Linked DNA regions of Tribolium castaneum. The protein of the gene in region 1 purifies or fractionates together with the protein of each later gene. This does not show direct contact. Links are inferred from orthologs where the notes say so. Each region holds a gene or a part of one and is shown on either strand. Other genes may lie near its edges.

What was found.
Region 2: the proteins of brefeldin A-inhibited guanine nucleotide-exchange protein 3 (region 1) and Phb2 purify together in Homo sapiens (affinity purification with western blotting; 4 studies listed by BioGRID). This does not show direct contact. The link is inferred for Tribolium castaneum from reciprocal best matches to the Homo sapiens genes ARFGEF3 and PHB2.

Annotation. Positions count from the first base shown.
Region 1 is NC_087399.1:9,107,671-9,111,494, reverse strand, and holds part of brefeldin A-inhibited guanine nucleotide-exchange protein 3, read left to right. Parts: intron 1-745; coding exon 746-1,730; intron 1,731-3,824. UniProt on the Homo sapiens protein: Participates in the regulation of systemic glucose homeostasis, where it negatively regulates insulin granule biogenesis in pancreatic islet beta cells. Also regulates glucagon granule production in pancreatic alpha cells.
Region 2 is NC_087401.1:13,157,997-13,162,407, reverse strand, and holds Phb2 (prohibitin-2), read left to right. Parts: upstream 1-1,587; 5' UTR 1,588-1,680; coding exon 1,681-1,813; intron 1,814-1,857; coding exon 1,858-1,978; intron 1,979-2,026; coding exon 2,027-2,486; intron 2,487-3,646; coding exon 3,647-3,724; intron 3,725-3,775; coding exon 3,776-3,872; coding exon of another isoform or gene 3,873-3,883; exon of another isoform or gene 3,884-3,980; intron 3,981-4,027; coding exon 4,028-4,113; 3' UTR 4,114-4,191; downstream 4,192-4,411.

The DNA.
Region 1 (3,824 bases):
TGTTATTAAAAATTCTATTTTTTTCTCTGCATGTAATTTTTTTCAGAAGTTGTCTACAATTTTTTATACTTCTAATAAATACAAGCTGAATCAAAAGTATTGCAAAAAATTGCTGTTTTCATGTACGAAACGAATTGGAGATAAAAAAAGAAAATTTAATTTATGTATTATTTTATCAAATATCCCGGCGCATCCACCAATTTTGATAACGAACAACATTTTTAAAACATGATGGATGAGAGTAAATAAATGTTATAAATGTAAAACGATATTTTTGTTACCTTATTTCTGGCAATAATAAAATATAAATGAATGTGATTCCTACTTAAAATTTGTGCTACGCACTCATTTAACTAATACATGACTCAAAGATAACGAACAACTTTTCTTTACTTGTATGTGTAACAGAGTTTTAATTTTAAAACGTTAAAAAAAGGGGAAATTACAAAAATAGTATTAAAAAATTATTTTTAAATGAGCTTGAAGCACTCATTCTTTAAAATAACTTGTAACTACGGTACTCGTTACTGAAACTTGAATCCGTGCTTCAAGAATGGTATAATGAAACTTGTTTTGTAATATACTATTGTTTCACTTTTTTAATTAAAGCAAGGAAGTAAACGTCGAATTTTTAGAAAACTTTAATCATTTATTGAATTTTTATTACGGGACGTAGTTTTTCTAGGTGTTGTGGTTGCGCCTTTAATTGCATTTATTACGTTGTTATCATTATTATTATTATCAGGGACGTGGTTGCAAATTTGAAATGCCAAAGCGACTCCGACAGTAGCGGGATTGAGGGCAACGTCCCCGACATTGAAGGGGGCTCTGAATCGGATTGTTCCGGCGCAACCGAAGGCCCCGAAGAATACGGGAGCCAATCAGAGGACAGTATAATGGACGATGACAGTTTTTTAACCAACCATCAACTCCAAAAATTGCACAAACTTCCAAAATCGCTCAACTTGGGCCGAAGTGGTCTAGAAGAGTGCAATACCGACGTGGAACGTCACAACGCCCGCCATTTCGTCAAAACCTTACAAAACATACTTCTCCCAAACCTTTTATCACTAAGATCGTCCATTCAAGTCGACGAAGTTTTGCAAGAATTCGCCTCCAAGTGTTGCCAACACAACTCGGCCCAAAGCTACGAAATTTCAACGATTATGAACGCCGATGGTGTTTATTTAGCCACGTATTCGGCCCTTTTGCTCGACTTGAAGCTGATACAAGGGGGCAACCATGATGGGGGCAACAACGTCCCCATCACGGAGGCCCAGTTTGTGGAGGAGATTCATGGCAGTGGGGTTTTGGTCTACGTTTCGGCGACTTGGTTATGCGAACTTTACCAAAATGTTTTGGCCAAATCGTTGCTTCTGACGGCTGGGTATGACCCCAAAGCGCCCCAACAGCCAGCTTTGGTCAATTTATTGACAGATGTTGGTGGTTTATGTCCGTCACAGTTACTTTCCGATTGGCAGAAGTTGCAAAAAGTCCATGGAAGCCCGGAGAGTAGTCCTGAAGTTGAGGCAGGAGTTAAGCTCTCACGGAGGGTTTTGACGTGTTGTTGGGCTTCCGTGGTTTCGGTTTTAGGGGCGCCATTGGGCGAGAAAAGCACTTTTTCGGGGACTTCGGCTCTGAGTCGGTTGGTGGCGAGAAGGGCGCGGCAGAAGCATCGGCAAAGGATAAGGGATGATATCATTACGGCGTGTCTTGAGGGCCTCCATAAGGTATTTATTTATAAAATCGGGGGGAAAACCGCAGTACCTGATTTTTTGGTTCTATTTTTTTGATTTCCGCGATTTTTTTTTGAGTTTTTTTTTTGAAAAAATGTTCAAAAATGTCATTGTAAAAATATGGATATACTGTGTTAGACAAAAGTATGGAACCAAGCGTTTTGTGGCTAAACTATGTTCCTTACAAAAAAAATAAATAGTACATCATCAACTCCTTCAAAAATGTGAACATTTTTCAAGAATAAATTTTTTCGAAATTCTTTTTTGTTATTCAAAAAAATTTTTTTTAATGTAACTTTACCACGGCGATTATTTTGTTAAAAGTTTATGCTCTAAAAATTACTTCTAATTCAATAATTTTGTTTTTGTGTTTTTTTTATAGATTATTAAAGCCGCATTCCGAGCTTATTACGACGGTTTTCTGAATACCACCACTTCGACCAAGTTCGAAAAACCTTCGTAACGGGCTCGGAATGCAACTTTAATAATTTATTTTCAGAGAACCACTGGTTTAAATACAATATTATTGAATTAGAAGTAATTTCTAGAGCATGGTCTTTAACCAAAAAAATCGCCGATGTGGGGTGCCATTTAAAAAAAAATTAATAACTCGAAGACTTAAGGAATTTCGAAAAAAATTATTTCTGAAAAATGATTACATTTTTAGAGTACTTGATGATGTACTAATTGTTTTTTTCGTAAGGCACATAGTTTAGGCACAAAACGCTTGGTTCTATATTTTTGCCCAACGCTGTACTTTTTTTTGTAACAAAATATTTAAACTTGTTTGCTTGCATTTTAAATTTTTAGCCAAAGGGTTGAAAAAACATAACGTCTACCAGTTTGAAGAGAAGTTCATATTACTTTTGTTTTCAAAATGATTTCCTTGATTTATGTATTCACTGCAGATTTCTTCTAATTTGAATTAGAATTTTCTAAAGATATTCAGAAGAAATATTTAAATTCATCTATAGATTTGTTTTTATTTATCTATTTTTAGACATTTTGTTTTTTTTTTGATTTTTTTGGTTTTAACAAATTATTTTTGATTTTGTTGGATTTTCTCAAGATTTTTTCTTAATGTTTTCAAGATCACACTAACATTTCAAAATAATTTTGATGACTTCAAAATTATTTGCAGATTTCTTTTCATTAGAGCTAGAAGTTTTCAGAAAAAATATCTTTTATTGATTTTTCTTGTTTTATTTTTTGGTTTTCTTCATGTTTTTCTCTCGATTTCTACAATACAGTTGCACTAAATATTCAAAATGTTACCTACATACATATTTCTTTTAATTAAAGTTACAGATGTCTTGAGGAAGTCAGAACTAGACTAGTATATAAGACTAGTCTTTATCTATCATAAAGGTTTATCTGTAAAAATTTCTTTTGATTTCCTTTGGTTTTGTTTTGCCTTGTTTCACTCTTTGTATTTCTTAATGATTTTCTTTTGCTTTTCACAAAAATTGCACCTATTGTTCAAAAAGATTTTCGTGAATTCACTCCAGATTTCGCTTAGTGTTAGAGATTTTCAGAAGAAATATTTATGTATATCTTTCTAGACATTTATACTTATCTCAACTACACAATAGGGGTATTGTTAAAAACACGTTGCATTCTAAAATTTAATTTTAAAATTTAATAAATTTTTTTCTCTGACTTTCTTAAAAGTTACACTAACTTTTTTCCAAATGATTCCTAATGTGATTTAAAATATTTACTTCAAATTTCTCATAAATAAAGCTAGAGAAACCTTAAATCTATCTATAAATTTATCTTTACTTTAAAGACTTATCTAAAAAAAATTTTTTTAATTTCGTCTACTTTTAACTTATTTTTTTTGACTTGTTTTAATTTTTTTTATTTGTTCCTGATTTTCTCAGGAGCTCCATTAATTGTTTAAATAAAAGTAATTTTATTTTCCAACAGACAAAAATGTTTATATTGGATAATTACAAAATATAATTTTAACACAAACAGAATAATTTTAAATAACAATATAAAATACATAGATAATACAAAAATAAGTAACAAGAAAAGATGAATATTTAACATTAAATTTATTGGCAAAGCTGAGACAATAACTGT
Region 2 (4,411 bases), on another chromosome or scaffold:
CTAAAAAAAATTTAACTTACCAGCGTTCGTAATGAAATAACACAATACTTCCTTACTAGTACATTTTTGTTCTACCGGTTTTGCGCATTTACCTTTACACGACCAACAGTGTAACTTGTCCGTTTTACCGGAGGATAAAGCGCAAATTGCCGAAATAATTAAAATTATTTTAAGTGTGACAGATGTCATTTTTTCACTTTTTTTCAGAGAATTTAATGTTATCAGCGATTTTTTTCAACCATTCGTTTAACTGTAATAACATAAAGTTGTATTTTTTTAAATAGGAATCATAGTTGGCTATGACATTTTCGAAAAGATTATTTTTTTCTGATTTGATATGTCTATTTGTGTAATACGTTAATTTTAAATATTTAAGAAATACGAAACATTTCGTTTTTTCTTTATAGTAGGCCATGAAAAAATTTTGGATTTTTAATTAAAGCTATGAAAATTGTATTACCCACCAAGTATTTATAGTTTAACGAATTTTTAAACCTAATTAATTCAAAAACAGCATAATAAATTTTTATTAGATTAAATTTTTGCAATTAATAAAAATTATTTGTTTTTATATTTAAAATGGCAAGCTTATGTTGTCATTTTATTTTCCAATTTTAAACATGAAATGTCGGAAGAAGAAAAATCTTATTAATTGTATGATTGCGTATCAATAAAATTTTATTTTACAAAAAAATGTCAATCCAAACACCAAAATCAAATTCCATCTGCGGTAAAAATTTATACAACATTATCAACGTCACCTCCATTGAACTTTACTAAATCATAAAAAAGTGGCATCAAATAGTAGTGACACATCGTTTGCAATTTTCTGCACATTTTTTATGTAATTAAAATCTGCGACGCTCGTATATTTGTTCAATTGAAAATAACTTTAACATAGCTTATTTTTATAATTTCACATTTTTTACTTTAATAACCGCTCACAAAATTTCTAGATTATTCACACCTTTTATGTGAAATAATTTTTCCATGGCCAACTACTTTCAAATATTTTAAATATATTTTCTAGCAAAAATATATAAAAATATCAAACTATATTTATATTGTTTTGAGTTCAGAAAAAAGTAAGCTTTTCAAAAATGTCATAGCCAACTATGATTCTCATTTAAAAAAATACAACTTTATGTTATTACAGGTAACGAATGATTAAAAAAATCGCTGATAACATTATTAAATTCTCTGTAAAAAAGTGCCTTTAAGGTCTTTGTTTCAAATGTGTATCTTTTATAATAAGGAAGATATGAATTTTTTAATATTTCACTGAAGTGTCAATTTTTGTTTATAAGTCGAAAACAAAAGACGATAGCGAAGTGCGGTTTTGACCAAAATTATTCTCTCAAAAAACGGACCCGAAAATGTGCCATTTGTTTTTCTCTAAACTTCTTAATTTCGGAGACCCCGGAGACTTTTTGTCGATTTAGAATCTGGGTAATTTTGAGGAATTTATTTAAGTTTCACCAGAAACTTACTTATTTCAAAAAGTTTCTTCGAAACAACCGATGAAGAAGAAAATAAAATAAAAATTGTTGTAAAAGGATTAAAAATCCCGCGCTGCGTTTAGTAATTTTGGTATTTTCTGGCGTCCCTGCTTGTCACCGGCGCCATTTTCCGCAATCACGTTTTTTCAATCGCGCGTTGTGTAACTAATAGCCCCCATAAATGGCTCAAAGCAAGTTGAACGACCTGGCCGGCAAGTTCGGCAAAGGGGGCCCGCCCGGCCTGGGGCTCGGACTCAAACTTCTGGCCGTTGGTGGCGCCGCAGCTTACGGTATCTCGCAAGCCATGTACACCGGTAAGCCCTTTCAAATTTTTTGCGGTTTTTACGCCCGTGTCTAGTCGAAGGGGGCCACCGGGCCATCATGTTCAACCGCATTGGGGGCGTCCAGAAGGACATTTACACTGAGGGGCTGCATTTCCGCGTGCCGTGGTTCCAGTACCCCATCATTTACGACATTCGGTATTTGGACGAATGAGTGTAGCGGGGTTTGTAAGGGGGCTGTTTTAGGTCAAGGCCGCGTAAGATCTCCTCGCCAACGGGGTCGAAAGACTTGCAGATGGTGAATATTTCGCTGAGGGTGCTCTCAAGGCCGAATGCCAGCCAACTGCCGATTGTTTATAGACAGTTGGGGCTGGATTATGATGAGAAGGTTTTGCCTTCGATTTGCAACGAGGTGCTGAAGTCGGTTGTTGCGAAGTTTAACGCAGCTCAGTTGATTACACAAAGACAGCAAGTTTCGCTTTTGGTTAGGAGGGAATTGACTGAAAGGGCGCGCGATTTTAATATAATTCTGGACGATGTTTCCATTACTGAGCTTTCCTTCGGGAAGGAATACACGGCTGCGGTTGAAGCCAAACAGGTGGCGCAACAGGAAGCCCAAAGGGCTGCGTTTATTGTCGAGAAAGCCAAGCAGGAAAGGCAGCAAAAGATTGTCCAAGCGGAGGGCGAAGCCGAAGCCGCAAAAATGATATCCTTTTTATTTTTTGATTTTTTTAGTTTTATTTGTTTATTTCTCCTTAATTTTTGAGTAATTTTGGAAAATTGCTGGTAAGACGCTTCTGACTAACTTAGCTAAAATTACGGAAAACTATAGATTAGGAGACGAAACGAGACATAAAATCGTACCACAGAAGTAACACGTCAGAGGGCACTTCGATCGTTATAATTAATTTAAATTCAACCAATTTATTAATTGTGGGGAAAAGATACAAAAATGTTGTTTACTGAATTGAGAAAAATTGACTAAATTACACAGTTATGTAATGAATTTTTAAAGTATATTATTCCAAATACTACGGAGAAATGCTTCTCTCTAATTAGTTTTTAGAATGTTATAAGAGTACTAAAAAATAATTTAGAAAATTTGAATTTTGAAAAAGATCAAAATAAAATCTACAAGAAAATTTGGAGAATGAAGAAATGTTGATAATAGTTAATTATTATTACACAAGACGATGACATTGCTTACCTACGAGTAAAAAGGTTGAGTTCAAGAGAGACGAAGTCACGAGTGAACTTATTTCGCGAATAGATATTACGTGTATAATACAACATTTTTTCTACAGCTGGACTTCAAGTTTACGAAAAAATAATTATTAGTCTCTTAACCCATCAAATGAGTATGTTATTGGAATTTGTAAATTTAATTGAATAAAATAAATCTAAAACATTCTATATATCTTCGCGGTTAAAGTGCTATTTTATCTACTCAAAAGAGTTGATAAAGAAATAGTTTAACATCTGCTATAGATAAGAATATTTGTTTGTTGGCAATATTTTAAGCCTTCTTTTTAATATCTGAATCCTAGATTATAATCACAATTTTAAAACACGTTTCCCGTTGGGAAGAAAGTTGTAGCCAATTAAAATTTCGTTAAAAAAGTCCACGAGATCTTCAACCGTTTAGGTCCCAAAGATGTTTCAAGCGTTCTTTAAAATTTGTTGCTCAGCGCCCTCTGGCGACACCAACGTAACTAGCGAGAACGGGACGTTTTATTAGTTCGTTTCGTAACCTAAGCTATAGTGAACCGTAGCTAAAACTAGAGTAGTCATAGCCGACGAGCCAGACGTAGAGTGTCGTTCGTGTAGTTAGTTTGTGTTTAAAATTTTTTCTTAACTTGAGTTTACTTAGGTGAAGCAATTTCCAAAAATCCGGGCTATTTGAAATTGAGGAAAATCCGCGCGGCTCAGAATATTTCACGAACCGTGAGTTTTGTTTACTTGATTTCTTCTTTAATTGGAAAAATATTTTTCTAGATTGCCAACTCGCAAAATAAAGTGTACCTCAGTGGTAACAGTCTAATGTTGAATATCTCTGATAAGGAGTTTGATGACCAGTCTGATAAGCTCAAACGTAAGGATTGAGTCTAGGTTTAAGTTCGTAGTGAGTGAGTGAAAAACTTTTATAAGAATATTTCTTTGTTACTATTTGTAAAAATATTCCTAAGTCTCAAATAAATGCGTAAGTTGTTACGAAGTCTTGTTTGATTTTGTTTACCCCTTTTGTAGGTAATGAATATGATGACACGACGCGAAGTGCTGATAAAAATGTGCTCAGGACAGCACGGAAAATGGCAACAAGGATTGCTGGATAAGGGCGGAATTTTCACGCATGTAGATTTTATATTTTGGTTATTGTTGCTTAATAAACGTTTTTAACACCTTTATTAAAACTGCATTTCTCTTCTTTTGTTTGTTCCTATCCTTAATGTTTATAAAAAAAATCACCAATATTTGGTGATTTTTATGCGCAAGGGTTACCAGCATTCAAGCACAGTCTTCGAACCGGTTTTATTCTGACATCAAGCTACACAACAATGGCAGTGTTTAAATAAAGCTAGGCCAAGCTACGCATTGTTCGTTCAATCAAACATTTAAACCTGTGCACAATAA